Linked DNA regions of Macaca mulatta. The protein of the gene in region 1 interacts with the protein of each later gene in a biochemical or structural test. Links are inferred from orthologs where the notes say so. Each region holds a gene or a part of one and is shown in the gene's direction. Other genes may lie near its edges. The genes, in order: SNCA, CSNK1A1, GBA1, NEDD4, YOD1, VAMP2 and PLK2.

What was found.
Region 2: of the proteins of SNCA (region 1) and CSNK1A1, one has a biochemical effect on the other in vitro, tested with the Homo sapiens proteins (3 studies listed by BioGRID). The link is inferred for Macaca mulatta from reciprocal best matches to the Homo sapiens genes SNCA and CSNK1A1.
Region 3: the proteins of SNCA (region 1) and GBA1 form a complex in vitro, tested with the Homo sapiens proteins (2 studies listed by BioGRID). The link is inferred for Macaca mulatta from reciprocal best matches to the Homo sapiens genes SNCA and GBA1.
Region 4: of the proteins of SNCA (region 1) and NEDD4, one has a biochemical effect on the other in vitro, tested with the Homo sapiens proteins (3 studies listed by BioGRID). The link is inferred for Macaca mulatta from reciprocal best matches to the Homo sapiens genes SNCA and NEDD4.
Region 5: the proteins of SNCA (region 1) and YOD1 form a complex in vitro, tested with the Homo sapiens proteins (2 studies listed by BioGRID, with this or other methods). The link is inferred for Macaca mulatta from reciprocal best matches to the Homo sapiens genes SNCA and YOD1.
Region 6: the proteins of SNCA (region 1) and VAMP2 form a complex in vitro, tested with the Homo sapiens proteins (3 studies listed by BioGRID and IntAct). The link is inferred for Macaca mulatta from reciprocal best matches to the Homo sapiens genes SNCA and VAMP2.
Region 7: of the proteins of SNCA (region 1) and PLK2, one has a biochemical effect on the other in vitro, tested with the Homo sapiens proteins (2 studies listed by BioGRID). The link is inferred for Macaca mulatta from reciprocal best matches to the Homo sapiens genes SNCA and PLK2.

The regions. Positions count from the first base shown.
Region 1 is NC_133410.1:99,154,553-99,158,657, reverse strand, and holds the start of SNCA (alpha-synuclein), read left to right. Parts: upstream 1-1,305; 5' UTR 1,306-1,494; intron 1,495-2,138; exon of another isoform or gene 2,139-2,204; intron 2,205-2,437; exon of another isoform or gene 2,438-2,641; intron 2,642-2,813; exon of another isoform or gene 2,814-2,858; intron 2,859-3,341; exon of another isoform or gene 3,342-3,475; intron 3,476-3,909; 5' UTR 3,910-3,934; coding exon 3,935-4,055; intron 4,056-4,105. UniProt on the Homo sapiens protein: Neuronal protein that plays several roles in synaptic activity such as regulation of synaptic vesicle trafficking and subsequent neurotransmitter release.
Region 2 is NC_133411.1:158,512,786-158,516,731, reverse strand, and holds the start of CSNK1A1 (casein kinase I), read left to right. Parts: upstream 1-1,146; 5' UTR 1,147-1,633; coding exon 1,634-1,756; intron 1,757-2,426; coding exon 2,427-2,533; intron 2,534-3,946.
Region 3 is NC_133406.1:111,758,248-111,761,747, forward strand, and holds part of GBA1 (lysosomal acid glucosylceramidase), read left to right. Parts: intron 1-516; coding exon 517-741; intron 742-1,445; coding exon 1,446-1,609; intron 1,610-1,978; coding exon 1,979-2,095; intron 2,096-2,189; coding exon 2,190-2,295; 3' UTR 2,296-2,948; coding exon of another isoform or gene 2,949-3,163; 3' UTR 3,164-3,255; coding exon of another isoform or gene 3,256-3,417; 3' UTR 3,418-3,500. Other genes in the region: metaxin-1, read right to left, coding at 2,949-3,163, 3,256-3,417. UniProt on the Homo sapiens protein: Glucosylceramidase that catalyzes, within the lysosomal compartment, the hydrolysis of glucosylceramides/GlcCers (such as beta-D-glucosyl-(1<->1')-N-acylsphing-4-enine) into free ceramides (such as N-acylsphing-4-enine) and glucose.
Region 4 is NC_133412.1:33,147,773-33,151,272, reverse strand, and holds part of NEDD4 (E3 ubiquitin-protein ligase NEDD4), read left to right. Parts: intron 1-1,074; coding exon 1,075-1,196; intron 1,197-1,283; coding exon 1,284-1,354; intron 1,355-3,188; coding exon 3,189-3,284; intron 3,285-3,500. UniProt on the Homo sapiens protein: E3 ubiquitin-protein ligase which accepts ubiquitin from an E2 ubiquitin-conjugating enzyme in the form of a thioester and then directly transfers the ubiquitin to targeted substrates. Specifically ubiquitinates 'Lys-63' in target proteins.
Region 5 is NC_133406.1:64,800,761-64,804,882, reverse strand, and holds the start of YOD1 (ubiquitin thioesterase OTU1), read left to right. Parts: upstream 1-1,322; 5' UTR 1,323-1,926; coding exon 1,927-2,269; intron 2,270-3,239; coding exon 3,240-3,943; 3' UTR 3,944-4,122. UniProt on the Homo sapiens protein: Hydrolase that can remove conjugated ubiquitin from proteins and participates in endoplasmic reticulum-associated degradation (ERAD) for misfolded lumenal proteins.
Region 6 is NC_133421.1:9,677,680-9,681,788, reverse strand, and holds the start of VAMP2 (vesicle-associated membrane protein 2), read left to right. Parts: upstream 1-1,309; 5' UTR 1,310-1,410; coding exon 1,411-1,412; exon of another isoform or gene 1,413-1,845; coding exon of another isoform or gene 1,846-1,853; intron 1,854-1,927; coding exon 1,928-2,048; intron 2,049-2,531; coding exon 2,532-2,690; intron 2,691-2,773; coding exon 2,774-2,825; intron 2,826-3,433; coding exon 3,434-3,450; 3' UTR 3,451-4,109. UniProt on the Homo sapiens protein: Involved in the targeting and/or fusion of transport vesicles to their target membrane. Major SNARE protein of synaptic vesicles which mediates fusion of synaptic vesicles to release neurotransmitters.
Region 7 is NC_133411.1:66,282,121-66,285,723, reverse strand, and holds the end of PLK2 (serine/threonine-protein kinase PLK2), read left to right. Parts: coding exon 1-144; intron 145-500; coding exon 501-598; intron 599-932; coding exon 933-1,062; intron 1,063-1,307; coding exon 1,308-1,548; intron 1,549-1,670; coding exon 1,671-1,800; intron 1,801-2,063; coding exon 2,064-2,174; intron 2,175-2,310; coding exon 2,311-2,502; 3' UTR 2,503-3,103; downstream 3,104-3,603.

The DNA.
Region 1 (4,105 bases):
TTTATTTACCTATTTGACTCAAAGCACCAGGTCTCAAAGAGGTCACTGTTATACTATAAATATGTCATATGAAATAATATATTAAATAATTGTTGTAATAGCCTATTGAAGTACTAGTTGTAATAAGACACAATGGAAAACTTACACTATTAACAATAATAAAAAGAAACAACAAAAAGCAATAAAAAACAAACCACCGATTCATGCAATGACATGAATCACCTCACAAATACTATGCTGAGTAAAAGAAGTCAGACAGATATAAAAAAGTTTATACTACGTGATTAGACTTTTATGACATTCTAGAATATGCACATGAAGGGTGCAAGGTAACTGTCTGGAGTGATGAAAATGTCCTGTGTCTTCAAAATAGTGTGGGTTACACCAATGCATGGTTTTTTCAAAACTGATTTAAAGGGACACAACATCTGAGCATTTCACTAGGTGTAAATTACACTGAAATTTAAAAGAATCGTCTAATGACATTGTGGTTATTTTTAAACAGTTCTTAAATTTTGTGGATGCATACTGAATGTTTACAGTTGAAAAGATGTATATAAAGCTTGAATTTTGTGAAAAAAAATAGGGAGGATTGGTAGTGATAAAGTGAGTGGACTTATGAATGAGACATGATATGCCATGCATAGAAAAAATGTAAAAGTTGGGTGATATTCACATGGGAGTCCTTTATTCTTTCTACTTTTGCGTATGTTTGAATATTTCCCATAACAAAAAGTTGAATATAGGGCGATCACCTGAGTTCATCTCCTCATTTACAAAAAATAAAACTGGAAACAGAAGGAGAACATAACTTGTTCAAGGTCTCCAAGCCAGACAACAAACTAGCTCCCAAGTCCAACCTTCTTGCTCTGGTCCTAAGCAAACACAAACTATTAATATGAGCTACTGCGTTATGGAAAGTCTGTTTTTCCAAAGGGCAGACCAATAGTTCAAGGAAGAGTTTAAGTAATAAAAATTTGTAATCTTACTTTCATGTTTTTCTATTTTCCACTGAACACATAGGCATTATCTTCTATATGTCTTTCATGTATAATCATTTGTTTACTATTCCTTGTGGTTTTAAAGTTGTTTTGTATGTTTACATTTGATTTTACTCAAATTTCAGAATCCAAATGAGTGCAAGAATCAGACAAAGCATTAGCTACAAACATAAAAACAATTTTTAAAAAACACAGCAAAAACGAGCTGTTGTCCCCGCCCCCCCCGCCGGCCCCCACCAGTGCTTAACTAATCTTCGGAATCCAGGCACAGAAAGCAAAGGCTTTCTGCTAGTGGGAGGAGCTTGCTTCTCCATTCTGGTGTGATCCAGGAATAGCTGTCTTCCAGTTCTGAAAGAGGTGAAAATGTGTTAAGCGATGCAAAAATTGTCTTGAGGTTCGCGTGTGTACGTCTGTGTGTCTGTGCATGTGGTGGGTCGGGGGAGAGAAAAGGGGATGTCAATTCTGAGGGCAACGAGAATTAGAAGTCAGAAAGGTGAGTGGCGTGTAGCATCTCCCTTTCAGAAGGGGCTGAAAAAGAAATTGGATATGATGGTCTGGTAGGGTAAATCACGCTGGATTTGTCTACCAGACCATGCACTTAGGTCTGCAAAGTAAGTCCCATTTCTAGAGCGAAAAGCCTTAGGACCGCTTGTTTTAGACGGCTGGGGAATATTTATTCCTCGTTCCGCTGATGGGAAAATCAGCGTCTGGCAGGCGCTGATTGGTGGAAAGGAAAATGGTGATAGTGGGGTGGGAAGAGGATTTGCTGAGCCTCCTCCTGCCTCCTCAACCTGTAACTCTTCCTTAGTAGTCTCCGATTCACCCGCGGGACCCTTTCGAGCTCGACCTGGATTAAGAGCAAACGAAAATCTTGAGGATATTTGAACTAAAGCGACCCTTAACGTAGCCTGTGACCGTGATTAAATGTCAGCGATGCGAGGGCAAAGTGCTCTCGGCGGTGCGGTGTGAGCCACCTCCCTGCGCTGCCTGTCTCCCCAAAGGATAGGCTCTGCTCTGGGTGGTCGACCCTCAGGCCCTCAGCTCTCCCAGGTCGACTCTGACGAGGGGTAGGGGGTGGTCCCAGGGAGGACCCGGAGGAAAGGCGGGGACAGGAAGGGAGGGGAATGGGAAAGAGGGAGAGTCGTCAGCCCAAGCCCAACCGCTCCCAATCGCCACAAGAGTGCCCGTGACCCTGAACTTGAGGTGAGGCGCAAAAGCGCCCCCACTTTCCCGCCTTGCGCGGCCAGGCAGGCGGCTGGAATTGGTGGTTCACCCTGCGCCCCCTGCCCCATCCCCATCCGAGATAGGGAACGAAGAGCACGCTGCAGGGAAAGCAGCGAGCGCTGGGAGGGGAGCGTGGAGAGGCGCTGACAAATCAGCGGTGGGGGCGGAGAGCCGAGGAGAAGGAGAAGGAGGAGGACGAGGAGGAGGAGGACGGCGACGACCAGAAGGGGCCCGAGAGAGGGGGCGAGCGACCGAGCGCCGCGACGCGGGAGTGAGGTGCGTGCGGGCTGCAGCGCAGACCCCGGCCCGGCCCCTCCGAGAGCGTCCTGAGCGCTCCCTCACGCCTTCCCTTCAAACCTTCTGCCTTTTTCTCCATCCTCGTGAGCGGAGAACTGGGAGTGGCCATTCGACGACAGGTTAGCGGGTTTGCCTCCCACGCCCCCAGCCTCCCGTCGTCGGCTCACAGCGGCCTCCTCTGGGGACCGTCCCCCTCCCGGTGCCGCCTCCGCCCTTCCTGTGCGCTCCTTTTCCTCCTTCTTCCCTATTAAATATTATTTGGGAATTGTTTAATTTTTTTTTTTTTTAAAGAGAGGTAGGGAGGAATCGGAGTTGTGGAGAAGCAGAGGGACACAGGTAAGTACCTGTGGATCTAAACGGGCGTCTTTGGAAATCCTGGAGAAAGCCGGGTGGGAGAGGAATGGTCGTGGGCACCAGGAGGGGGTGGTGCTGCGGTGAGGACCTGCTGTGCCAGGTCTCTGGGAGGTGAGTACTTGTCCCTTTGGGGAGCCTAAGGAAAGAGACTTGACCTGGCTTTCGTCCTGTCAAGGGCTTCTCCCCAAGGGCTGAGAGATTAGGATGCGTCTCCGGGATCCGCTTTTCCCCGGGAAACGCGAGGATGCTCCCTGGAGCGTAAGCATCCAACTTTTATTTCTCTCTTACCTGAAATCCGTCTGCCCGCTCTCTTGGTTTTTCTCTGTAAAGTAAGCAAGCTGCCTTTGGCAAATAATGAAATGGAAGTGCAGGGAGGCCAAGTCAACAGGTGGTAAAGGGTTAACAAGTGCTGGCGCGGGGTCCGCTAGGGTGGATGCTGAGAACGCCCCCTCGGGTGGCTGGCGCAGGGTTAGAGACGGCCCGCGAGTGTGAGCGCCGCCTGCTCAGGGTAGATATCTGAGGGCGGGGGTGGATGCTCGGATGTATTAGAACCAGCACCCTTGGGCTCGCTGTTTGCCTGAGGTTGAACCACACCCAGAGTGAGTAGTTAGTTCTCTTGCCTACGCCTCTCCACCATCAACCTGTTAGCCTTCTTCTGGGATTCATGTTAAGGATGCCCCAGACCCTAAGCCTCCAGCTTCCATGCTTCTAACTCACACTGTTACCCTTTAGACCCCGGGAAGTTAAAACAGGAGTGACTCTTTTCATGCAACTCCACTTCTGAAATGCAGTATTAACAACTCAGAGGATTCATCCTAATCCATGGTTAGGTGGCTAGACTTTTACTAGCCAAGATGGATGGGAGATGCTAAATTTTTAATGCCAGAGCTAAAAATGTCTGCTTTGTCCAATGGTTAAATGAGTGTACACTTAAAAGAGTCTCACACTTTGGAGGGTTTCTCATGATTTTTCAGTGTTTTTTGTTTATTTTCCCCCAAAAGTTCTCATTCAAAGTGTATTTTATGTTCTCCAGTGTGGTGTAAAGGAATTCATTAGCCATGGATGTATTCATGAAAGGACTTTCAAAGGCCAAGGAGGGAGTTGTGGCTGCTGCTGAGAAAACCAAACAGGGTGTGGCAGAAGCAGCAGGAAAGACAAAAGAGGGTGTTCTCTATGTAGGTAGGTAAACCCCAAATGTCACTTTGGTGTTGGTTCATGACTGATGGGTT
Region 2 (3,946 bases), on another chromosome or scaffold:
ACCTCAAGTCATCTGCCCGCCCCGGCCTCCCAAAGTGGTGGGATTACAGGCGTGAGCCACTGCGCCCGGCCCTCATTTCTATTTTAATTAAATTTTATTTAGGATAGGCTTAGCTTAAATGTTTACGACTGAGGTCTGACTTAAGATGATAGCATAAACCATGGAGCTTTCTTTTGTGAACATTACTATTACTCAACCCAATTTTCCCAGGTCAAATTTTGTAATACAAAATGTGGTCAAGATTTGATTCTCTGATCGATTTTTAGTAAAAAAGAAAAAAATTTCCGTGTAGCTTTAAATGTTGTCAATTAAATTTTGTAATAGTTACCTCTACTCTGTTCAGGTTAATACTGCGGTTTTCAACATGACCAACATACGATTCTTTGTTGTTGTTTTGGTGGGGTTGGGGGGCATAACAGTTTTTTCACTCTTGTTAAATTAATTTTCTGTTGATTCCATCTATCCCTAATCTTCACTATGAACAAGATACTGGGTTTTCTTCTGAAGATCAAAAGTGGTAGTGAGGCAATAATGCAAAGACGTAGGACGGCAGGGGGATTCCGGCTTCTTTCTTTTTTCCCCTCCTGTGGAAAGAGGGTCTATAACACTCCGTAGTAGAGAAGAAAATTCTAATTATGAAGGGTAATTAGCTAGGTTTTGCTATAACCGAGAGCCCTGAACGATTCCTCAACGCGGGCTGCTTTTCTCTTCCTCTCCACCAGAGGCGATAGCCTCTTTCCAAACAGAAACTGGGTTGGAATAGGCCGGTCCTGGGGAGCGGCCAGAAGAAAGATCAAAGGTTAAAAACCGCCTCAAAGAGCAAAGGTCAATACCCAACTCCTAAGGAGGCCTGACACGAAACATGAAGGTGACTCCTCCCAACATCGAGGCCTGGGGCCACTCAGCCTTCCAGAGACCCTGCGGGTCCGAGGCGAGTAACAGGTAACACCAGCTGAGCCGCCGCCGACCGGAAGTGGAAGAAAGCCCGGGGCGGGGTGAGGCAGGCCGCGGCACGCCTGCGCAGTCAGCAGGAGTTGCAGCGCTCATGCGCTACTGGGCGGTGACAGGGTGACGCTCGGAGCGTGGGCCGCGACTCTCACGGATCCGGTTCCGCCCTCTCGCTGCCGATCCTTCGGAGCGAGCGCCCCAGATCCCTTTCCCAGAGTGCTCTGCGCCGTGAAGAAGCGGCTCCCGGGGACTGGGGGCATTTTGTGTTGGCTGGAGCTGGAGTAACAAGATGGCGGCGTCGGCGGAGTGACAGGGGTCCCTCAGGGCCGGAGCCGGCGGCAGTGGTGGTAGCTGTATCGCCGCCCTAGCTCACCGCGCCCCTTTTCCAGCCCGCGACGTCGCCGCGCAAGCGAGGCAGCGGCGGCCGCCGAGAAACAAGTGGCCCAGCCTGGTAACCGCGAGAAGCCCTTCACAAACTGCGGCCTGGCAAAAAGAAACCTGACCGAGCGGCGGTGATCAGGTTCCGCTCGGCTGATTCTGGGCCCCGAACGCCGGTAAAGGCCTCCGTGTTCTGTTTCCTGCCGCCTTCCTCCGTAGCCTTGCCCAGTGTAGGAGCCCCAGAGGCCTCCGTCGTCTTCCCAGAGGTGTCGGGGCTTGGCCCCAGACTCCATCTTCGTCTCTCAGGATGGCGAGTAGCAGCGGCTCTAAGGCCGAATTCATTGTCGGAGGGAAATATAAACTGGTACGGAAGATCGGGTCTGGCTCCTTCGGGGACATCTATCTGGCGATCAACATCACCAACGGCGAGGTAATCACCTGGGGTGGGGTTCACGATAACGCTGCGCTTTTCCTCATTCCCCCCACCACCACCGCGCACCCCCAAAGTGCTCGGGCCTTTCCTCACCGCACGCACTCGCCAGGGAGTCCAGGGAGCTAGTTTTCCTGGCTTGCGATCCTCGCCCGCTCTCTCCCTAAAAGGGTCAAGAACCCGATAGAAAGGTTGGGGGAACTAGTTTCCCAGCTTGTTAAACACGTCCCATAAATGTCCCTTCGTCGAGCTGTTTTTTTTTTAACCGACTTTTAAGGTGGAAACGGCAAAATCCTCTTTCTGTGATTCCCATGCTTTGCTTTGCTTTTCTTTTATTTAATTTTTAATCCTACTGGGCCTCTTGTTCCAATTAGAACAGTTTCCGATTGCCTAGTTCCTTAAAAACCTCTCACTACGTTCAGAGGTTGCTTCTTTTTTCTGGATGAATCATTTTCCTGCACTTTAGAGGACGTACGATTTCGTCACTACCCCCTGAAGAGGCCTTTGAGGCTGGTTGCCTCGTTTTATAATTACAGAGAGCTTTCTCTTTCCAGCTTTTCACTTCTTCCTTGTAGTCGCGACTTGGAGTTTTGCTAATGTCTCTCTCCTTTCCTAAATGACACTGAATCCGTAGGGATGTTGATGCCATCATCCCCTCTTTCCCCTGCAGGAAGTGGCAGTGAAGCTAGAATCTCAGAAGGCCAGGCATCCCCAGTTGCTGTACGAGAGCAAGCTCTATAAGATTCTTCAAGGTGGGGTTGGCATCCCCCACATACGGTAAGAACCCCGTGCATGTAGGCGATCCGCTGAGGGAAGCACGGAATGGGGAAGTGGGTAGAGGCAGGTAATGAGACCAGCTGAATCCGGGTCTTGTTTTAGTTACCTGGGTTCCTTGTAGCTGGTGCCTTCCTGTAAGTCATCGCAATCACTGAGTAAATTTCAATTTGCCAACTTATTTCATTGTATTACACTGCTCCATTTCGCTTCCGTCATTCTCTTCCCGAGGCTTTCGTTTGCAGTTAGGCGTGCGGGTCATCTTTGATCCCTACGCGGAAGGGTTGGCTGCTGCCTTTTTTACGGCGGCACGTCTGATGTTCTTAGGTTTGTCCAGTGAAGTGGATTTGAAGGTGCTGAAGCGACCCGGCAGTGTCAGTTCGAGTTGCTATTGGAGCTGGCTTGGGAAATGGCTGCTCTTTTGTTGTGTTTTTGTTCCAACATGTCTTCCTCCTCCGCTTAGAAAATGGCGGAACGACGTGACTCAACCCCATATTCCTGCCCTTTTCTCAGCTTGGGTTCACAAATTATGCTTCCTTGATTCCTCCTTTAGCAGCCCCGAGTGGATTAAACCTTTGAAAAGCCAAGAATAAAGCTGCAGGAGGCGGTGTGGGGGTTCGAGGAAGGAGATGGCATAGTGACAATGTTTGTGATCTCTGCAGCAGATGTGACATGAAATTGTTGAATTATACTATGTAAAATCCTTTGTGGTTCTTTTAAAAGTGTTAATTACGCTTTCCTTTCGTGAATGGTCATATTTGGCACATTTCAGTCGGGACTAAATTTGTATAGGTAATGGCAAAGGCAGTTTGAGCAGCACCAACTATGTTAAAATTTACTCAAATCAATTGTATTAAAAGAAATCTTAATCACTTAGCCACACTTTGATAAGTAATTTTAACCTGTTGAGTTTGGCAGTAAATCTTAATATCAGAGAAATTGCGGCCTTTGTTGGTGTGGAATATTGGTGAGTGCAAATTGCAGTAACGAGGATAAAAGATGACGAGATAGAAAGACATTGTTCTGTCAAATGGTTAACTTTACTTTGGAGGGTTTTAGAGTAATGTTTTAACTTTTGGGATTAAAGAGCCTCTTCATGGAATGGAGACTAAAATATAGTTTAAAACCAAGCTATTTTTCAGCAACAATCTAAAATACCTTTTGCAAAAATATTCAGAATAGGTGAGAATGGTGTTTACTGTTTGCTGGAGACTCTTTTTTTTTTTTTTGAGACTGAGTTTTCGCTCTTGTCGATCAGGCTGGAGTGCAGTGAATGGCACGATCTTGGCTCACTGCAACCTCTGCCTCCTGGGTTCAAGCGATTCTAGTGCCTCAGCCTCCTGAGTAGCTGGGATTACAGGCGCCCGCCACCACACCCAGCTAATTTTTGTATTTTAGTTTCACCATGTTGGCCAG
Region 3 (3,500 bases), on another chromosome or scaffold:
TCTCAAAAAAAAAAACAAAAAAAAACCTCTCTAGGCTCGGGGCGTTGGCTCATGTCTGTAATCTCAGCACTTTGGGAGGCCAAGGTGGGTGGATCACTTGAACCTAAGAAATTCAAGACCGGCCTGGGAAACATAGTGAAATCCCATCTCTACAAAAAAACCAAAAACTATATATGTATATACACACACACACACACACACACACACACACATACACACACACACACACAGAGATTAGCTGGGTGTGGCACCCATGTAGTCCCAGCTACTCAGGAGGCTAACGCGGGAGCATCAATTGACCCTAGGAAGTCAAGGCTGCAGTGAGCTGTGATTGTGCCACTGTACTCCAGCCTGAGTGACGGAGTGATATCCTGTCTCAAAAACAAAACAAAATATCTCCCCAAACCTCTCTAGTTGCATTCTTCCCATCACCCATTGCCAGAATTCCTACAAGAGGAATTGAAAGTTCCAGAAGCCTGTGTGCAAGGTCCAGGGTCACTTGCTCTTCCTTTGCAGGTACTGACAGACCCAGAGGCAGCTAAGTATGTTCATGGCATTGCTGTACATTGGTACCTGGACTTTCTGGCTCCAGCCAAAGCCACCCTAGGGGAGACACACCGCCTGTTCCCCAACACCATGCTCTTTGCCTCAGAGGCCTGTGTGGGCTCCAAGTTCTGGGAGCAGAGTGTGCGGCTAGGCTCCTGGGATCGAGGGATGCAGTACAGCCACAGCATCATCACGGTAAGCCACCACAGTCTGCCTTCCTGCAAAGCACACCTCAGACCCCTTAGTAGTCTCACCAAAGACTGACAGACCTTTCCTGTCCAGCTTTGCCCAGCTAGCCTGCCCTTTTGGGCAACTGGGGAACCATGATTCCCTGTCTTGCCTTTCCTTCACAGGTCTGCACACCTCATTGCCCCTTTTTTTTTTTTTTTTTGAGACAAAGTTTGGCTCTGTCGCCCAGGCTGGAGTGCAGTGGCACGATCTCGGCTCATTGCAAGCTCCGCCGCCTGGGTTCACGTCATTCTCCTGCCTCAGCCTCCCAAGTAGCTGGGACTACAGGTGCCTACCACCACGACTGGCTAATTTTTTTGTATTTTTAGTAGAGACGGAGTTTCACCGTGTTAGCCAGGATGGTCTCGATCTCCTGACCTTGTGATCTGCCCACCTCAGCCGCCCAAAGTGCTAGGATTACAGGCGTGAGCCACCACGCCCGGCTCATAGCCCCTTTTGCAAATACTGACGCACTTGCACTTGCCTCAGGCTTCTCAGATCCCCTTGAGATGCCTCGATCTTCACACCCCCAACTCCTTAGCAGCTAAGTAATGTGCCCCTCACAGGGCTGAGCTACCCACAGCCACTTCTCCCTCATGTGACCCTTACCTACAGTCTCTGGGGACCCCCAGTGTTGAGCCTTTGTCTCTTTGTCTTTGTCCTTACCCTAGAACCTCCTGTACCATGTGGTTGGCTGGACCGACTGGAACCTCGCCCTGAACCCCGAAGGAGGACCCAATTGGGTGCGTAATTTTGTCGACAGTCCCGTCATTGTAGACATCACCAAGGACACGTTTTACAAACAGCCCATGTTCTACCACCTTGGTCACTTCAGGTGAGTGGAGGGCGGGCACCCCCATTCCATATCAGGCTTATCATCTCCTACATCAGATGGCTTACATCACTCTACACCATGAGGGAGCAGGAAGGTGTTTAGGGTGGAACCTCGGGAGAGGCACACCCATCCCCTTTTGCACCATGGAGGCAGGAAGTGACTAGGTAGCAACAGACAACCCCAGTGCCTGAGGCTGGACTGCGATGTAGAAAAGCAGGGTCAGTGCCCAGCAGCATGGCTCCAGGTCTAGAGACCCAGGGCAGAGCTTCTGCAGGAGTTATGGGGTGGGTATGCGGGTGGGTGACTTCTTAGATGAAAGTTTCATGGGCGGTACCCCGAGGGACTCTGACCATCTGTTCCCACATTCAGCAAGTTCATTCCTGAGGGCTCCCAGAGAGTGGGGCTGGTTGCCAGTCAGAAGAACGACCTGGACACAGTGGCACTGATGCATCCCGATGGCTCTGCCGTTGTGGTCGTGCTAAACCGGTGAGGGCAACAGTGGGGTCTGGGAAGTGGGCTGAAGACAGGGTCGGGGGCCTTGGCAGGATCACACTCTTAGCTTCTCCTCCCCACTCCCTAGCTCCTCTAAGGATGTGCCTCTTACCATCAAGGATCCTGCCGTGGGCTTCCTGGAGACGATCTCACCTGGCTACTCCATTCACACCTACCTGTGGCGTCGGCAGTGATGGAGTGGATACTCAAGCTCAGCCTGGGCATTAAAAGGACAGAGTCAGCTCACACGCTGTCTGTGGCTAAAGAGGGCACAGCAGGGCCAGGGTGCGCTTACAGCGACATAAGCCCAAGGGCAGTGGTTTGGGTGATTCACTTTCCCCTCTAGGTATTGCCAGGGGCTAGAGGCCCCTAGAAAAAGACCAGTAAGCCCCAGTGTCCCCCCAGCCCCCATGCTTATGTGAACGTGCACTGTGTGCTGCTTGCTTTGGAAACGGGGCCTGGGCCCAGGCCTAGAGTGAGCTCACTGTCGTACAAACACAAGATGAGGGGTGAGGGTAAGGAAAAGAAGAGACTAGGAAAGCTAGGCCCAAAACTGGAGACTGTGTTTCCTGGAGATGCAGAACTGGGCCCATGGAGCAGCAGTGTCAGCATCAGGGCAGAAGCCTTAAAGCAGCAGCAGGTGTGCCCAGGCAGCCAGATGGTTCCTGTGGGACTAGCCAGGAAAAATGGCAGCTCTTAAAGGAGAAAATGTTTGAGCCCAGTCAGCGTGAGTGGCTTTATTCTGGGGGGCAGCACCCCGTGTCCGGCTGTACCAACAAAGAGGAGGCACGGGGGCCTCTGGAATGCACGAGAGTAGAAAAACCAGTCCTGGGAGCGTGAGGACAAATCATTCCTCTTCATCCTCCTCAGCCATGCCCAGGGCCCGGGTGCCTGGGGCCCGAGCAGGCGTTGCCCGCTGGATGGAGACAATGCCGCTGAGCAAGGCGTAGCCCACCATGGCTGCCAGTCCTGCCAGCACAGATAAGATCTGGTTCCGGCGCCGGTATGGCTCCTCCTCAGTCTCTGGGCCTGCTGGTGTCTGGCGTGGCGGTGGTACCTCAGCTGAGGGTCAAGGAAGGAAGGTGAGTTAGGGGAACTAGTTCTCAGATCCCTGCCCACTCTCCCCAGGGCTGCCCCTCCCATCTGCCCCTTACCTCCATCCCAGGGGAAGTAGAGACTGAGGATGTGGGTACAATAGGCACAGAGGTTGTGCAGCCCCCGCAGGTGGGCCTGCAGCTTCCCACTGGGCAGCTTTGCCTGCAGCAGCAGGGCCAAGTAGCTAAAGACGAAGGCGTCCAAGGAGGCAGGGCTGGAGCAGAGAGAGAAGGGTGGGATGGAGGAGAAGCACTGAGGCAGAAGGGGTAAAGATGGAGCTGGAGGAAGAGTCAGCCCTGGGAGG
Region 4 (3,500 bases), on another chromosome or scaffold:
TCGTGGCTAACACAGTGAAACCCCATCTCTACTACAACTACAAAAAAAATTAGCCGGGCGTGGTGGTGGGCACCTGTAGTCCCAGCTATTTGGGAGGCTGAGGCAGGAGAATGGCATGAACCTGGGAGGCAGAGCTTGCAGTGAGCCGAGATCGCATCACTGCACTCCAGCCTGGGTGACAGTGCGAGACTCCGTCTCAAAAAAAAAAAAAATTACTGTTTTAACCATTTTAAATATACAATTTAGAGTCATTACATACACTCTATTGTTGTGCTGCCATCACCACCATCCAACTCTAGAACTTTTTCATCTTCCCAAAATGAAACTCCGTACCCAGTAAGCACTTGCTCCCCATTCCCTGGCAGCCACCATTCTGCTTTCTGTCCCTGTAAATTTGACTCCTCTGGGTACCTCACATAAGTGGAATCATTCAATATTTGTCTTTTTGTGACCAGCTCATTTCACTTGGCATGATGTCTTCAGGGTTCATCCATGTTGTAGCATGTATCAGAATGTCCTTCCTTTTTAAGGCTGAATAATATTCCATTATTTTTGCATAGAATGCTTTGTTTAGGCCAGGCGCGGTGGCTCACGCCTGTAATCCTAGCACTTTGGGAGGCCGAGCCAAGTGGATCACAAGGCCAGGAGTTCAAGACAAGCCTGGCCAACATAGTGAAACCCTGTCTCTACTAAAAATACAAAAATTAACCAGGCGTAGTGGTGGGCACCTCTAATCCCAGCTACTTGGGAGGCTGAGACAGGGAAATCACTTGAACCTGGGAGGCGGAGGTTGCAGTGAGCTGAGACCATGTCGTTGCACTCCAGCCTGGGGAACAGAGCAAGACTCCATCTCGAAAACAAACAAACAAAACTTTGTTTATGCATTCATCTGCCAAGGACATTTGGGTTATTTCCACTTTTTGACAGAAATTACTATTTTTAAAACCATTAAATTCAGTGGAGGAATGTGGTTCTAACAGTAGTAAACAACTCTTAAAAGAGGAAGATTATTTATAATTATTTGTCATATTCAAGTGTTTCAAATGAAGTATTTAAATGGGGTTGTCTTTACAGGGACAATTATACCCTACAGATAAATCCAAACTCTGGATTGTGTAATGAAGATCACCTATCTTACTTCAAGTTTATTGGTCGGGTAGCTGGAATGGCAGTGTATCATGGCAAACTGTTGGATGGTTAGTATTAAGTATAAACTTTTACAATGTAATTACCTGTTGTCTTTCACTTGGTAATCATCCTAAATGTATTTGGTTTTTTGCAAGGTTTTTTCATCCGCCCATTTTACAAGATGATGCTTCACAAACCAATAACCCTTCATGATATGGAATCTGTGGTATGTCTTTTTCACTTATAGTTTAGACAAAGTATAATTTAATAAGTAACTTGAACATTTTGAGGAATTTGCTTTTAATGACATGGAAATTAATATATTATGTTTCAAAATACAAATTAACTTTTTCCTCAACATTTTATTATGAAAATTTTCTAACGTTTAATAAAGATGGAAGTATTTTACCCCGCACACTTGTATATCCACTACTCACAATTGGTTTTTTCTAGATTTACTGTATCACATACTTGTCTGTCTATCCATCAGCCTATCTTAGTTTCTTCATGCATTTCAGAGTAAGTTATAGATAACAGTAAACATCCCACTAAATACTTCAATAGGTTGTACAAGTTATGTGTCTTTGGAATCAGTATTTGCATTACGATCTTTTATGATGAATATTGCATGTGTGTGTGTGTGTGTGTATATATATATATATATATATATATATTTTTTTTTTTTTTTTTTTTTTTTTTTTTGAGACAGAGTCTCGTTGTGTTGCCAAGCTGGAGTGCAGTGGCGTGATCTCGGCTCACTGCAACCTCCGCTTCCCAGGTTCAAGCAATTCTCTGCCTCAGCCTCCCGAGTAGCTGGGACTATGGGTGCGCGTCACCTCGCCCAGCTAATTTTTGTATTTTTAGTAGAGATGGGGTTTCGTGTTCGCCAGGATGGTCTCCATCTTTTGACCCCATGATCCACCCGCCTTGGCCTCCCAAAGTGCTGGGATTACAGGCCTGAGCCACTGCGCCCGACCATATGGTGTATATTTTTTAAATGGCAGTCGAAAGGCAAAGCATTATGGTTAGGCTCCTAGAAAAAAACAGAAGCCCAAGGATTAAACCCCTGACTGTAGCCATGTTGTTTCCTGTGCTGCTGAATAGCCTCACACGATGTGTGTACACATGAATTCTAGGACATCTTCCTTAGTACCAAGTTCATTTTTTATTTTCTTATTACATATTAACAGCACAAACAGTGTGCTTCTTTATAAATCGTAAGATTGCACGGTTATTTGAGTTGGTTCATTGAGCCTCTATATTTATTTAGAGATTTTTCTTTAACTCGGGCTGGGTATAAACAATGGCCTCCTCATAGCTACTTAAACATTTCACACACAGTGCCGGACACAGGGGTGTGCAACTGTAATCCCAGCACTTTGGGAGGCTGAGGCATGTGGAACTTGAGGTCAAGAGTTTGAGACCAGCCTGGCCAACATGGTGATAGCCTGTCTCTACAAAAAATACAAAAATTAGCCGGGTGTCGTGGTGCATGCCTGTAGTCGCGGCTACTCAGGAGGCTGAAGTAGGACAATCACTTGAGCCAAGGAGGTCGAGGCTGCAGTGAGCCACAATCACCCCACTGCATTCCAACCTGAGGGACAGAGCAAGACCCTGTCTCAAAAAAAAAAAAAAATTAAATTAAAAAATAAAAATAAAACATTATAGTCACGTAGGCATATGAGGAATGTGCTAAGTGCTCCTGGATATCCAAAGCCAAAAGTTAGGTTTTATCTGAAAACTTCTGTATTCATTCCTTTAACTGGATGATACAATCTGTACCTCCACTGCTTCCACATAAACATAGATTCTGAACTTTTCAGTAGGCACCACTTGATTGATTGATTGACTGGTGCATTTTTACTCTTGCCCTTACCATCCATCTCTTTTTGTAATACACACACATACACACATACATTTTTGTTTATGTGTGTAAGTAAAGGATGTCCATCTGACCTCTCATCTTTTACCCAACTACTCAGCCCCTCTACATATTGTTTTTTTGCAATTTCAGGTGTGTTATATGTACAAATTTTAAATACGTAATTTTTCCCATCTAGGATAGTGAATATTACAATTCCCTAAGATGGATTCTTGAAAATGACCCAACAGAATTGGACCTCAGGTTTATCATAGATGAAGAACTTTTCGGACAGGTTTGTTAATTTTGATCAGTTAAAATGGCACGTAAATTGTGAAACAAATGTTTCGATGTTAATACGTACACTGAATACATTCCTAGGCTCTGTTTTTACATTTATTTTCCAGTAACAAAAACTGTCTCTCAGCAAGAATTTGTGCTTTCTTTAACATTTGACTCATTCCATATTTATTTTAGTAAAACTAATATTTTAAGTTTTCTTAGCTTTTAA
Region 5 (4,122 bases), on another chromosome or scaffold:
AGTGGACTATTCAGTAGGCGCCTTGAGAGGGGGTGTGCCCTTTGAGTGATGAGAAAATGCTGCAAAGATTAACGCTCTCATTACTGAATCCCAACAGAACCTCATTAGATCCATAAAAGGGAACGTAAGCTTTAAAGATGTTTTTGCTAGAATAAACTACCACAACACTTGAGCTAATTATGCCTTAGGGTGTATACATACCCCGTTCCACAGGTCAGACGCTGTAACCTAAGAAACTCAACCACTCTCATCGTTGAACCAGAAGCTTCCCTGGACCCACCCATACACCCCAGTGGAATTTTTTTTTTCTTTTTTTGAGATGGAGTTTTGCTCTTGTTGCCCAGGCTGGAGAGAAATGGCACGATCTTGGCTCACCGCAACCTTTGCCTCCCGGGTTCAAGCGATTCTCCAGCCTCCGAGTATCTAGGATTACAGGCATGCGCCACTACGCCCCCCTTATTTTGTATTTTTAGTAGAGACAGGATTTCTCCATATTGATGAGGCTGGTCTCGAACTTCTGACCTCGGGTGATTCACCCGCCTCGGCCTCCCAAAGTGCTGGGATTACAGGTGTGAGCCACCGCGCCCGGCCACCCCAGTGGACTTCTAACCGCTCCTACCTTCCCTCCTACCTACCTCCCAACTCAGGCTGTATCATCTGTTGTAGTGTCTTGAAGAACCAAGGAGGAAAATTGCACCAGCAGAAAAAAATTGAGTCATGAAAGATGTGAAAAGATAGAAACATTACATATCATTTATTCAGAAGCAAAGTCTTTTACAGTGGAGGTGAGTTTGGACCAAGTGAACTACACTTTTCATAGTTGCCCCAGTGGGCCCGTTTGATGCTTGATAAACACACTCTAGACAAGTGGGACTTGCTGTCTGGATACCGGCTGGATAAAGAACAATGAGTATAGATTTCTTGGAAAATAGACATATAAATTCAGGGATGTCTTTATTCCTCCTTCGCCTGGGAATTAAACTCATTCTTCCAAAAGTTCAAACAGTTATCTCCTCTTTGAGACTTTTTACAACTCCCAGAGTGCTCTAGTTGCCCTCTCTATGTCTATACAACTCTGTCTTTATTCTTTCAGCAAGTATTTGTTGAACATTTTTTATTTGCGATTCACAGTCCTGGGTTCTAGGCACACACGGTTGAAAAGGTACACATAATCTAGCATTATCACGTTGCTTTGAAATTCAGTGGCTGTGTGTCTCACACCCCACCCTGTCTCCCAACTGCAATCAATACTTGTTACAATGAAGGCAGGAATGAAGTCTTCATATTTGCATGCCCAGGAACTGAACTGGAATCTGATGACACGCACTACATGACTCCTCCTTACACTGCCACCACCTGAATGAGGCAGCTGCCCTGGGCCCAGATGCTGACCTCATACTGTGCTTTCTGATGTGGCAAATAGACGTTTTCAAGCAGTCCCAGGGAGGCAGAAAGGCCAGTCCTTTGGCCCCTGGAACCTCAATGAGTCAATGTTTAATGCAGCCACGAGTCTAGTCACAAGTATAATTGTTTTTGACTGGTCCTTTGACTCAGTGACCATTCCTGGCATTCGTTTGCGTTGTGAACTATGATTCTGTTTCTCCTAATGTAGTCTGGGTGTAGCGTGGAAGCCCCAATTTAATAATTTCCGACCTCACTAAGTGCAAGGTCACATTCCAAGCTCCAGAGCTTCATTAAGGAACTCCTTCCCCCGCCCTCTTTTCTTAAGCATATATGCTACCGACGCGGAGGGCACCTCACTCGCTCTACAAGTAGCAAGACCCGTTGTCCTTTAGGAATACGGAGGTTTACATCTTCGTTCTGAGGGTGGGGGAAAAATCAGTTGCCACTTTAAAAGAGTTCGCGCTTAAGGCAGAAGCCGCGCCGAAGCGTCGCGAGAACTGTAACAACCCGCAACTTCTCGCGATGTTTGGCCCCGCTAAAGGTCGCCATTTTGGAGTCCACCCGGCGCCTGGTTGCCCCGGCGGCATCGCTCAACCGGCTGCCGGGACCAAAGCTGGTCCCGCGGGTGTCTGGCCTGTGGGCAGCCGGACCGACACGATGTGGCGGCTCCGCTGCAAGGCCAAGGACGGCACCCATGTTTTGCAGGGGCTGTCCAGCCGGACCCGGGTGCGGGAACTCCAGAGCCAAATTGCCGCCATCACCGGGATCGCCCCCGGCGGTCAGCGAATCCTCGTCGGATACCCTCCCGAGTGCCTGGATCTCAGCAATGGGGATACCATTCTGGAAGACTTGCCCATCCAATCTGGTAAGGAATCAGGGCAGGGGCCAGGGAAAGTCCCGGGAGGACGGAGAGGGGCGTGAGAGAGAACAGAACACTAGTCAAGGCAAGGTGGCTGTGGGTCGGCGGGGGACTTTGAGGCCAGGGGCGAGGATAGATCAAAGAACAGAGAACTCTGACGGGGGCCGGGGCAAGTGTCTAGCAACTCCTTGTCTTGACACAGGGTTGAAAGGGAACCCAAAGGCTTGAAGTCCCCCTTCCCCAATCCGCTTTCTGCTCGGCTTTGAAACTATCCCATTTTGTTTTCCGTCGGCGTCCACAAAAATATGAAGAAGTAGGGCCTATTTTCTCTGTCCTTATGTCTCTTTTCCCCTGTATCATCGATGAGATCTCAAGGATGCAGGATTTTTTTTTTCTTGGTTCATTTTTGCAATCCCCTTCATAGATACTTCGTTTGACAGGCATACTCATTTTCGAGTCAGCTTTTAAACACCCACTGAAAGCCCTTTCAATTTCTAACCAGTAGCAGTTATTTTTGTGCCATATCAAAACTTGAACATCAGTGTTTATAATTAAAAGCTTTCAGTTGCTGTATCAAGGACGCTGTAAACACTCAGAGTAGATAAGTTCCCAGAGAAGGAGACCCCCCTAGCGGCCTACTCTGTAGTGAGCACCTTCTGTAAAATACTGTATAAGGAAAGGAAATTTTGTTTTTGAAATGTATCTTTTTAGGTAAGCTTAAAGTTGTTTACTCCAGACCGCTTCACTAAATTGGGATGCAACCTGAAGTGTCTTTGTTCTTTGTTCTTTTTTCATCTTTATGAAAATTCAGTGAACAAAGATTGTTACTGGTAACTTATTTGCAAAGCTGTCTTCTCTTTAATAACCCCAGTTTATGCTTTAACTCCTTCAGTTTGTAATTTACAGACTTGGCTAGTGAACACTCGGTTTCTTCTATAATTTCTCTGCAGATCGGGATTTGTTTTATTTTTAACAGGTGACATGCTGATCGTTGAAGAAGACCAAACCAGGCCCAAAAGTTCACCTGCATTTACTAAACGTGGTGCTTCTAGTTACGTCAGGGAAACTTTGCCTGTGCTTACCAGAACCGTGGTCCCAGCAGACAATTCTTGCCTCTTTACCAGTGTGTACTATGTCGTCGAAGGAGGAGTCTTGAATCCAGCTTGTGCCCCTGAGATGAGACGCCTCATAGCACAAATTGTAGCAAGCGATCCGGACTTCTATAGTGAGGCAATACTGGGAAAAACAAATCAAGAGTACTGTGACTGGATCAAAAGGGATGACACTTGGGGAGGAGCAATAGAGATATCGATTTTGTCCAAGTTTTACCAATGTGAAATATGTGTAGTGGATACACAGACAGTAAGAATTGATCGTTTTGGGGAAGATGCAGGATATACTAAAAGGGTTCTGCTTATTTATGATGGCATCCACTATGATCCACTTCAGCGTAACTTCCCTGATCCAGATACACCTCCTCTGACCATTTTCTCCTCTAATGATGATATTGTTCTTGTACAAGCACTGGAATTAGCAGATGAAGCTAGAAGAAGGAGACAGTTTACTGATGTCAACCGCTTCACCCTGAGATGCATGGTATGTCAGAAAGGATTAACTGGACAAGCAGAAGCAAGGGAACATGCCAAGGAGACAGGCCATACCAACTTTGGAGAAGTGTGATCTATGCATGAATGAGGGTTGAAGTCTACTACCTCACAGATCCAGAAGGCTCTGGGTTTTCCAATAAGCTGTCGTAACCCTAAAGAACAAAGGACACAATGCTTGAACCATCCTTTTGACTTAAAACCACTAAGACACTGAAATTCCTTGTTAAGATTAAAATTAGTGTGCAAGTTTAC
Region 6 (4,109 bases), on another chromosome or scaffold:
GTAGTAAGCACCCCCACCCCAGGTTCAAAGGGCCTCGCCTAAAATGCCTCCTGTACCCTTGAGGCTTGCTTTGATCCCCTGCACTCCACCAGAGCGACAGCTCCCCTGGTCCCATCTTCTCTGACAAGCTGGGTGGGAGTGTACACAGCCTCTGGGTGTGCTTAGAGGGCCTAATGGAGATAGGGATAATCTTCCATGTTATCCACATCAAGCCATTTAACGAATATGGATTTAGTATCTACATATGCAATGTATTTGGGGTCCAGAGAGAGGAGGGCAACTGTCCAAGGTCACACCTGCGAGGCGAATACGCATGTAAAGCAGCACCTTGTAAACTGTACCCACTGTGCCTACTACTAAAGAAAAAAAAATGAGAGAGAAAAAAGCCTTTTGGTCCCTGTGCCTGGGACCAAAGCCTGAGCCCTCTCCTGCAGTTGGGGTCGCTGACCCAAGCCTGGGGCAAAGCTAGGTCTTGGCCAGTCAGCAGCCACCACGTGAAGCAGCCCCTGCCCCCATCAGCCCCGGCTGCCTTGTGCCCTCCTCCTCGGGGTCTTCAGCTCACCCCACCTCAGTCGGGCCTGCTCCAGCTGTTAAGTACCCCTGGTCTGAACCTCAATCGTGAGGCGGGGCACCCCCCTCCTCACACCCTGTAGACACTCCCCGGTCCTCCACCCCCTGGACTTGTTTCGGCGGGAAGAGCCTGCCTCATCTTTTCTTCCCACCCTCCTACCCAGTGGCCTGGGATCGCAGGCTTCCTCTGAGACATCCACCAGCGGGGTGATGGGTTGAGACCAACCTCCTCCACTCCCCTCCACCCTAGCAGCAGGGTCCCCGCTCTCGATATTGCCCCAGCGCCTGTACTGACCCTCTCTGATTTCCCAACCCCAGCCCATTCCCAGTGCTGAAGGCGGGTCGCTAGGTGCTGGGACCTGGGCGCGGGGCGAGACCTTGGGCTGTGTGGGATGCAGGCTGGCTTATTGGGTTCACGATTCAGGGAGTGGTCTGGGGGTTAGGTGCGGGGCCAGGCTGCTGTGTGCCCTAAGGGGCAGGTGGCAAGAGGTTTGGGGGCGGCTGTGGAAGGCTGTGCTCAGACAGGGCGGGGTGACGGTGGGTTTAGGGAAGCCGCAGCAACCCGCCTGGTGGTCCCGTGAGTGCCCAGAGAGCTGCCGGGGCACGGTGGCGCCAGACCCGCAGTCCCGCCCGGCACGACCCCAGTCCCGCAGCGCCCCGCCCCCGCGGCCCCGCTCCCGACGCGTCGCCCGCGGCGCCCCGCCCCCGCCCGCAGTGCCCGGATGCGGGTGACGCGCGGCCGCCATCTTTCCGTCCCGGGCAGCCAGCGCCAGTCGGAGCCAGCGCGAGTCGCCGCCGCCATCACTGCTGCTGCCAAGTCCTCCACCCGCTGCCCCCGCCATGTGAGTCGGCCGCCCGCCACCCTCACCGCGCTTCCCTGCACCGGCCGCCGCCCTTGGCAACCGGCCGTGGGGAGTGCCCGGGGTCTCTCCCGCGTTCCCCGCGCCCCGGGGCCAGGCCCAAGCCGGTGACTGCGCGCGGGCGGCCGAGAAGCCCAGCGTCTCGGGCTGGCCGGCTCGAGCGATGGCCGCGGGAAGGAGCGGACCCTGTGTCCTCCTGCCGCGCCCCGCCCCTGTCACCGCGGCCGCCTGTCTTTTCGGGTCGACCCCGATCACATCTGTGAGGTCGCCCTCATTTGACAGGCGGGGAAACTGAGGCCGGGGGGAGGGGAGGCCTCGCTCAAGGTCACGCAGCTCATCGGTGGCGAGGCTGGACCTGGACCAGGGCTTCCATCGGGTGGCCTTCCTCCCGAAAAGGAGGACTGGAGGGACGAGGATGGACAGGTGGATGGGCGGAGCCCTGGCTGCAGGGCCGGGAGACTGCAGGCCCTGGGTCTTAATCCGTCCCTGCTCCTCAGGTCTGCTACCGCTGCCACGGCCCCCCCTGCCGCCCCGGCTGGGGAGGGTGGCCCCCCTGCACCCCCTCCAAACCTCACCAGTAACAGGAGACTGCAGCAGACCCAGGCCCAGGTGGATGAGGTGAGTGTGGGGGGAGTCAAAAGCAGTAGAAAGGACCCTGGGGGTTGGCGTTTAGGTGTAGGGGCCCATGTTGGTTTGGGAGTGATGACAGTTCACGCCTGTGGGTTTGCGGACAAAGATACTTTGCCCCATCCGTGTCTCCCTGTCAGCACGCACTTGGAAGGGTGCTGGGGGTGTTAATCAGCTTTGCTAGCCTGGGGTGTGCCAGCCTAGGCAGGTGTGCTCTGGTGATGGACAGAGCGCCTGAGGCGCCATAGAGGGAGGGTGTTGCTATGATATCTGAGATGTCACCAGCAATCCCCTGATGTGTGCTCCTTGCATGTCCCCAGGTGTGCTAGGCATGTACTGTGTGTGTCCTTGGCATGTTAACCTGGCAGCATCAGGGTGCATGTTCCATGTGTGGCACGGTGGGCACATGTTTGAGGATTGCCCTCATGAGGTGGGCCTTGGCACACCCCCTTGCCCCGTGGGCCCTTCTCCCAGGTGGTGGACATCATGAGGGTGAACGTGGACAAGGTCCTGGAGCGGGACCAGAAGCTGTCGGAGCTGGACGACCGTGCAGATGCACTCCAGGCAGGGGCCTCCCAGTTTGAAACAAGTGCAGCCAAGCTCAAGCGCAAATACTGGTGGAAAAACCTCAAGGTAAGGATGGGGACAGGAAGGAGGACTGGCAGGTGAATGGGGTATCATAGTTAGTCTCGCTGATCCTCTCCTCTCACCCCCAGATGATGATCATCTTGGGAGTGATTTGCGCCATCATCCTCATCATCATCATAGGTGAGTAGGCTGGGAATGGCCGGGGCCCTTTCCCTGGAGAGGTTTCCCCAGTGGATTCTGGGTTTTGAAGGTCATTAACCTAGTTTTTACTCTTCAGCCAAAAACACATATAGCTGCTAATGGCAATTCTGATTCACCTAGAGCCAAAAACTTTGATGTTATTTAGCCTGCATTTTGCCTGGTTCTTGGCAGTTTTGTTAACATTTAGAAATATAAAAGTTGGTGTATCCATTGAGGACCCTTTGGGCCTAAGAGCCCAATCTGAGAGCCCTGGAATTGAGGAGTGGGAGAAAGGAAAGGCCCAGGGGCTTGAGACATGACCAGGAAGCCAACCACCCCATTATTTGAGAGCTTGTGGCCTCAGGCTCAGAGGATTAGGGTATGTGGCCTCAAGGCCATACCATGGAACTGAAGGGACCTCATAACCTACCTGTCTAACCCCTTGCTTTGTAGATGGAGAAACTGAGTCCAAGAGAGGGGTAGGGGTGCCAGCCAGCTGGGGAGTGGGGAGGATTGGAGCAGGGCCAGGCCTGACACACTGCTTTCTTTCTTTCTCCCTCTCTCTCTCCCCTCTCCCTCTTCCTCATCTTCTTCCCCTCTCTCCACAGTTTACTTCAGCACTTAAATCCCTGAGGAGTCTGCCCTGCCTAAAGAAGGGCCTCTCCCCCCACCCTCAGCCGTTCCTCCACCTCTCAGCCATATCTTTCAGCCCCCCTTCCCTGGATCCGTGCGTGTGTGTGTCCGTGTGTGTGTCCCCCTGTAAATAGCCAGCTGTTATTTATACATATATAATATTATATATATTTGGTCTGTTTGTAGTTTTATTACTAGAAGATTTTTCTGGTTGTCCTTAACACCCCTTCCTGAGGTTCCCTTCACCTCCTCTCTCTTGCCTGCCTTCCCTTTCCCTTTCTTCCTGACTAGCCCCAAGTCCCTTCATTTGCATCTGCTATGCAATAGTCCCTCTCCTCTCCTTCTTCTTCCCTCAGATTTAGCTGATCCTTCCCCCCACCCTGGCCTTCCTTTCCTCCTCCCTCTCCCGGTCATGCTCCCTCTGCCCCGCCCTCAAAAAAGACCACAAAAAACAAAAAGCATCTGTCCAGGCTTCCTTAGGTGCATCTTGTTTGCATCCAATGGGAGGCTCTGAGACTGGCCCCACTTGGTCCTAAGAATCCCAAGGTCTTTGGGAGTGTCCAGCATGTTAAGTAGCGTATCATTACATACTGCCATCCCTTTCCATTTCTTTTTGTTCCATCACTCTTCTCTCAACTGGTGTTTCTTTTT
Region 7 (3,603 bases), on another chromosome or scaffold:
TCACTCCGGACAGACTGTCTTCCAGCTGTTGTCACACAGTTCCAGATTTCCACTTATCAAGCCCAGCTAAGAATTTCTTTAAGAAAGCAGCTGCTGCTCTCTTTGGTGGCAAAAAAGACAAAGCAAGATATATTGACACACATAGTAAGTTAACAAGACTTCTTTTCCTTTTTGTATCCAATATTATATTTAAATTTATATTTAAATTAGTTAAAAGAGAATTTTATATTAGCATAACTTGGCCATATTTGCATATTCTTAAATGTTGATATTTATAGCATAATAAATCCATACCTTGAATTGTGATTGATAGCTTTGTATTTTGCAAACATTAAAGAGGGCTTTTGGGGTAGTTGCAGCTAATGGCAAAGGTAAAATGCTATTTTTGTCCAGGATGGTCATAAGTTGGTCAGTAATGCAAGAAGGAGAAGATATGGCTAACCCTGTTCCTACCTTGTTAAGATAGACTAATGTTTGTAATTCTGTTTCTTGATATACAGATAGAGTGTCTAAAGAAGATGAAGACATCTACAAGCTTAGGCATGATTTGAAAAAGACTTCAATAACTCAGCAACCCAGCAAACACAGGACAGATGAGGTGTGTTGGGAAAGATTAAAGTAGATATTCACACTTTACATTACGTCCACTCTTTATTAAATAGCTCTTGGACTATGATTATCATGGTTCAAAAATGTCATATTTACTGAAGTTTTTCTTCAAACCCTTTGAAAGGGAAGTTAAAACTAAAAGGAAGTCTTTCAGTTTTACAGTGCATGCAAGCGCGTTATTGCGTTATCTTTTATCTGGCTTGTGTCCATTGCTTTTTGATAAGCTTTCCCAGCAATTGCCTCACTCTCATCTTAATCTGGAATTCTCAACCTTAAATGAATTTAGATGCTTGACTCATTGCATAAATCTTCTCTCTCCTAAGGAGCTCCAGCCACCTACCACCACAGTTGCCAGGTCTGGAACACCCGCAGTAGAAAACAAGCAGCAGATTGGGGATGCTATTCGGATGATAGTCAGAGGGACGCTTGGCAGCTGCAGCAGCAGCAGTGAATGTAAGTGGTTGTCAATCATATTTTAAATAACAAAACTCTAAATGCCACTGCTAAATACATAATAATTTAAGTCAATTTACTTTGTAGCTTAATCTAACATCGAAGTAGTAAGATTACCGGAATTGGAAAATAATCTTGAGTTCTATGTCTTTTGAATTAATGGAGTGAAACTTAGCATCTACCAAACCTGAGGTTTTATTGCTAAAATATTGTATAACTTGAAACATTTCTCTCTGCCTTTTCAGGCCTTGAAGACAGTACGATGGGAAGTGTTGCAGACACAGTGGCAAGAGTTCTTCGGGGATGTCTGGAAAACATGCCAGAAGCTGATTGCATTCCCAAAGAGCAGCTGAGCACATCATTTCAGTGGGTCACCAAATGGGTTGATTACTCTAACAAATACGGCTTCGGGTACCAGCTTTCAGACCACACCGTCGGTGTCCTTTTCAACAATGGTGCTCACATGAGCCTCCTTCCAGACAAAAAGTAAGTGTATCAATTAATGAAATCCTGTCAGTTCTCTAGTCTTGCACTAAAGAAATCTAAAAACAGTGATTAACTGCTTCTATTTTTTTCCTCTTCTCTCCCTTTCATTCCTGTTTTTATAGAACAGTTCACTATTACGCAGAGCTTGGCCAATGCTCAGTTTTCCCAGCAACAGATGCTCCTGAGCAATTTATTAGTCAAGTGACGGTGCTGAAATACTTTTCTCATTACATGGAGGAGAACCTCATGGATGTAAGTACCGTGACTTTAGAGTGGTGACATTTGAAGTGTAGTCCACAGAGCAGTAGCATCTGCATCACTTTGAAGCTTGTTAGAAACAGATTCTCCTGTCCTCTCCTTGATGTACTGAATCAGAATCTCTGGGAGGTGGAGGCAGGGATTTCCAAAGCCACTCTGATGCTTGCTTAAGTTTGAGAGGATTTTCTTAGAATAATAATAGAGTGCATGCTACAAAATCTTTGTAGGCACTAACTCACTCTCCTAATCTCTTCCAGGGTGGAGATCTGCCTAGTGTTACTGATATTCGAAGACCTCGGCTCTACCTCCTTCAGTGGCTAAAATCTGATAAGGCCCTAATGATGCTCTTTAATGATGGCACCTTTCAGGTAAATGAACTCTTCAGGAAAGCGCATGTTTAGGTCCTACACAGAAAAATCTGTGCCTAGCCAGTTTAGTAATTGACTGAATTTTTCTAATTCTTGAATATTTTGAGAGATCTAATATCTATGTTTATTTTTTAAGGTGAATTTCTACCATGATCATACAAAAATAATCATCTGTAGCCAAAATGAAGAATACCTTCTCACTTACATCAATGAAGATAGGATATCTACGACTTTCAGACTGACAACTCTGCTGATGTCTGGCTGTTCATTAGAATTAAAAAATCGAATGGAATATGCCCTGAACATGCTCTTACAAAGATGTAACTAAAAGACTTCGAATGGACCCTACGGGACTCCTCTTTTCCACTGTGAGATCTACAGGGAAGCCAGTAGAATGATCTAGAGCATGTTGAAGAAGATGGACATGTGGTGGTACGAAAACAATTCCCCTGTGGCCTGCTGGACTGGGTGGAACCAGAACAGGCTAAGGCATACAGTTCTTGACTTTGGACAATCCAAGAGTGAACCAGAATGCAGTTTTCGTTGAGATACCTGTTTTAAAAGGTTTTTCAGACAATTTTGCAGAAAGGTGCATTGATTCTTAAATTCTCTCTGTTGAGAGCATTTCAGCCAGAGGACTTGGAACTGTGAATATACTTCCTGAAGGGGAGGGAGAAGGGAGGAAGCTCCCATGTTGTTTAAAGGCTGTAATTGGAGCAGCTTTTGGCTGCGTAACTGTGAACTATGGCCATATATAATTTTTTTTTCCATTAATTTTTGAAGATACTTGTGGCTGGAAAAGTGCATTCCTTGTTAATAAACTTTTTATTTATTACAGCCCAAAGAGCAGTATTTATTATCAAAATGTCTTTTTTTTTTATGTTGACCATTTTAAACTGTTGGCAATAAAGAGTATGAAAAAGCAGAAATAATAGTTTCCTGTCTTTAGTAGAACTCTTCACCACATCATGACATTTTTTGATAATGTCATGCCAAGCAGTGCCAAGAAGCCACTGAGTATAGAAGCATACTAGAAAGTTAGATCTTTAATTTTTTCTAACCACAGTTTCTAGAAAGTCTAATACCTGAAGTACAATCATAAACTTTCAGGGTAGATCTAGCTTGAGAACACCATTCTTGTTACAACCAAAATATAAGCCTCCTACATTAAAGAAATACTCCAATTTCTCTCTAGTATTTCTTTAAAACTTGTTTAGCTTGGAGATAAAGCCAGAGTAAACAGATCTCTGTTGTTGTCAATAGGCAACAGGAAGTTTATCTTAATATGGGCAAAACTCTGAATTAGAATGCATGCACCACCTAAACATATTACTCAGCATAAACCTGCCTAAACACTTCCAGAGCCGCTGGCAGTACTAGCACATAATTCCAGTAGTGAGAAATTCTTTGTGAATAAGTCATTTTATGT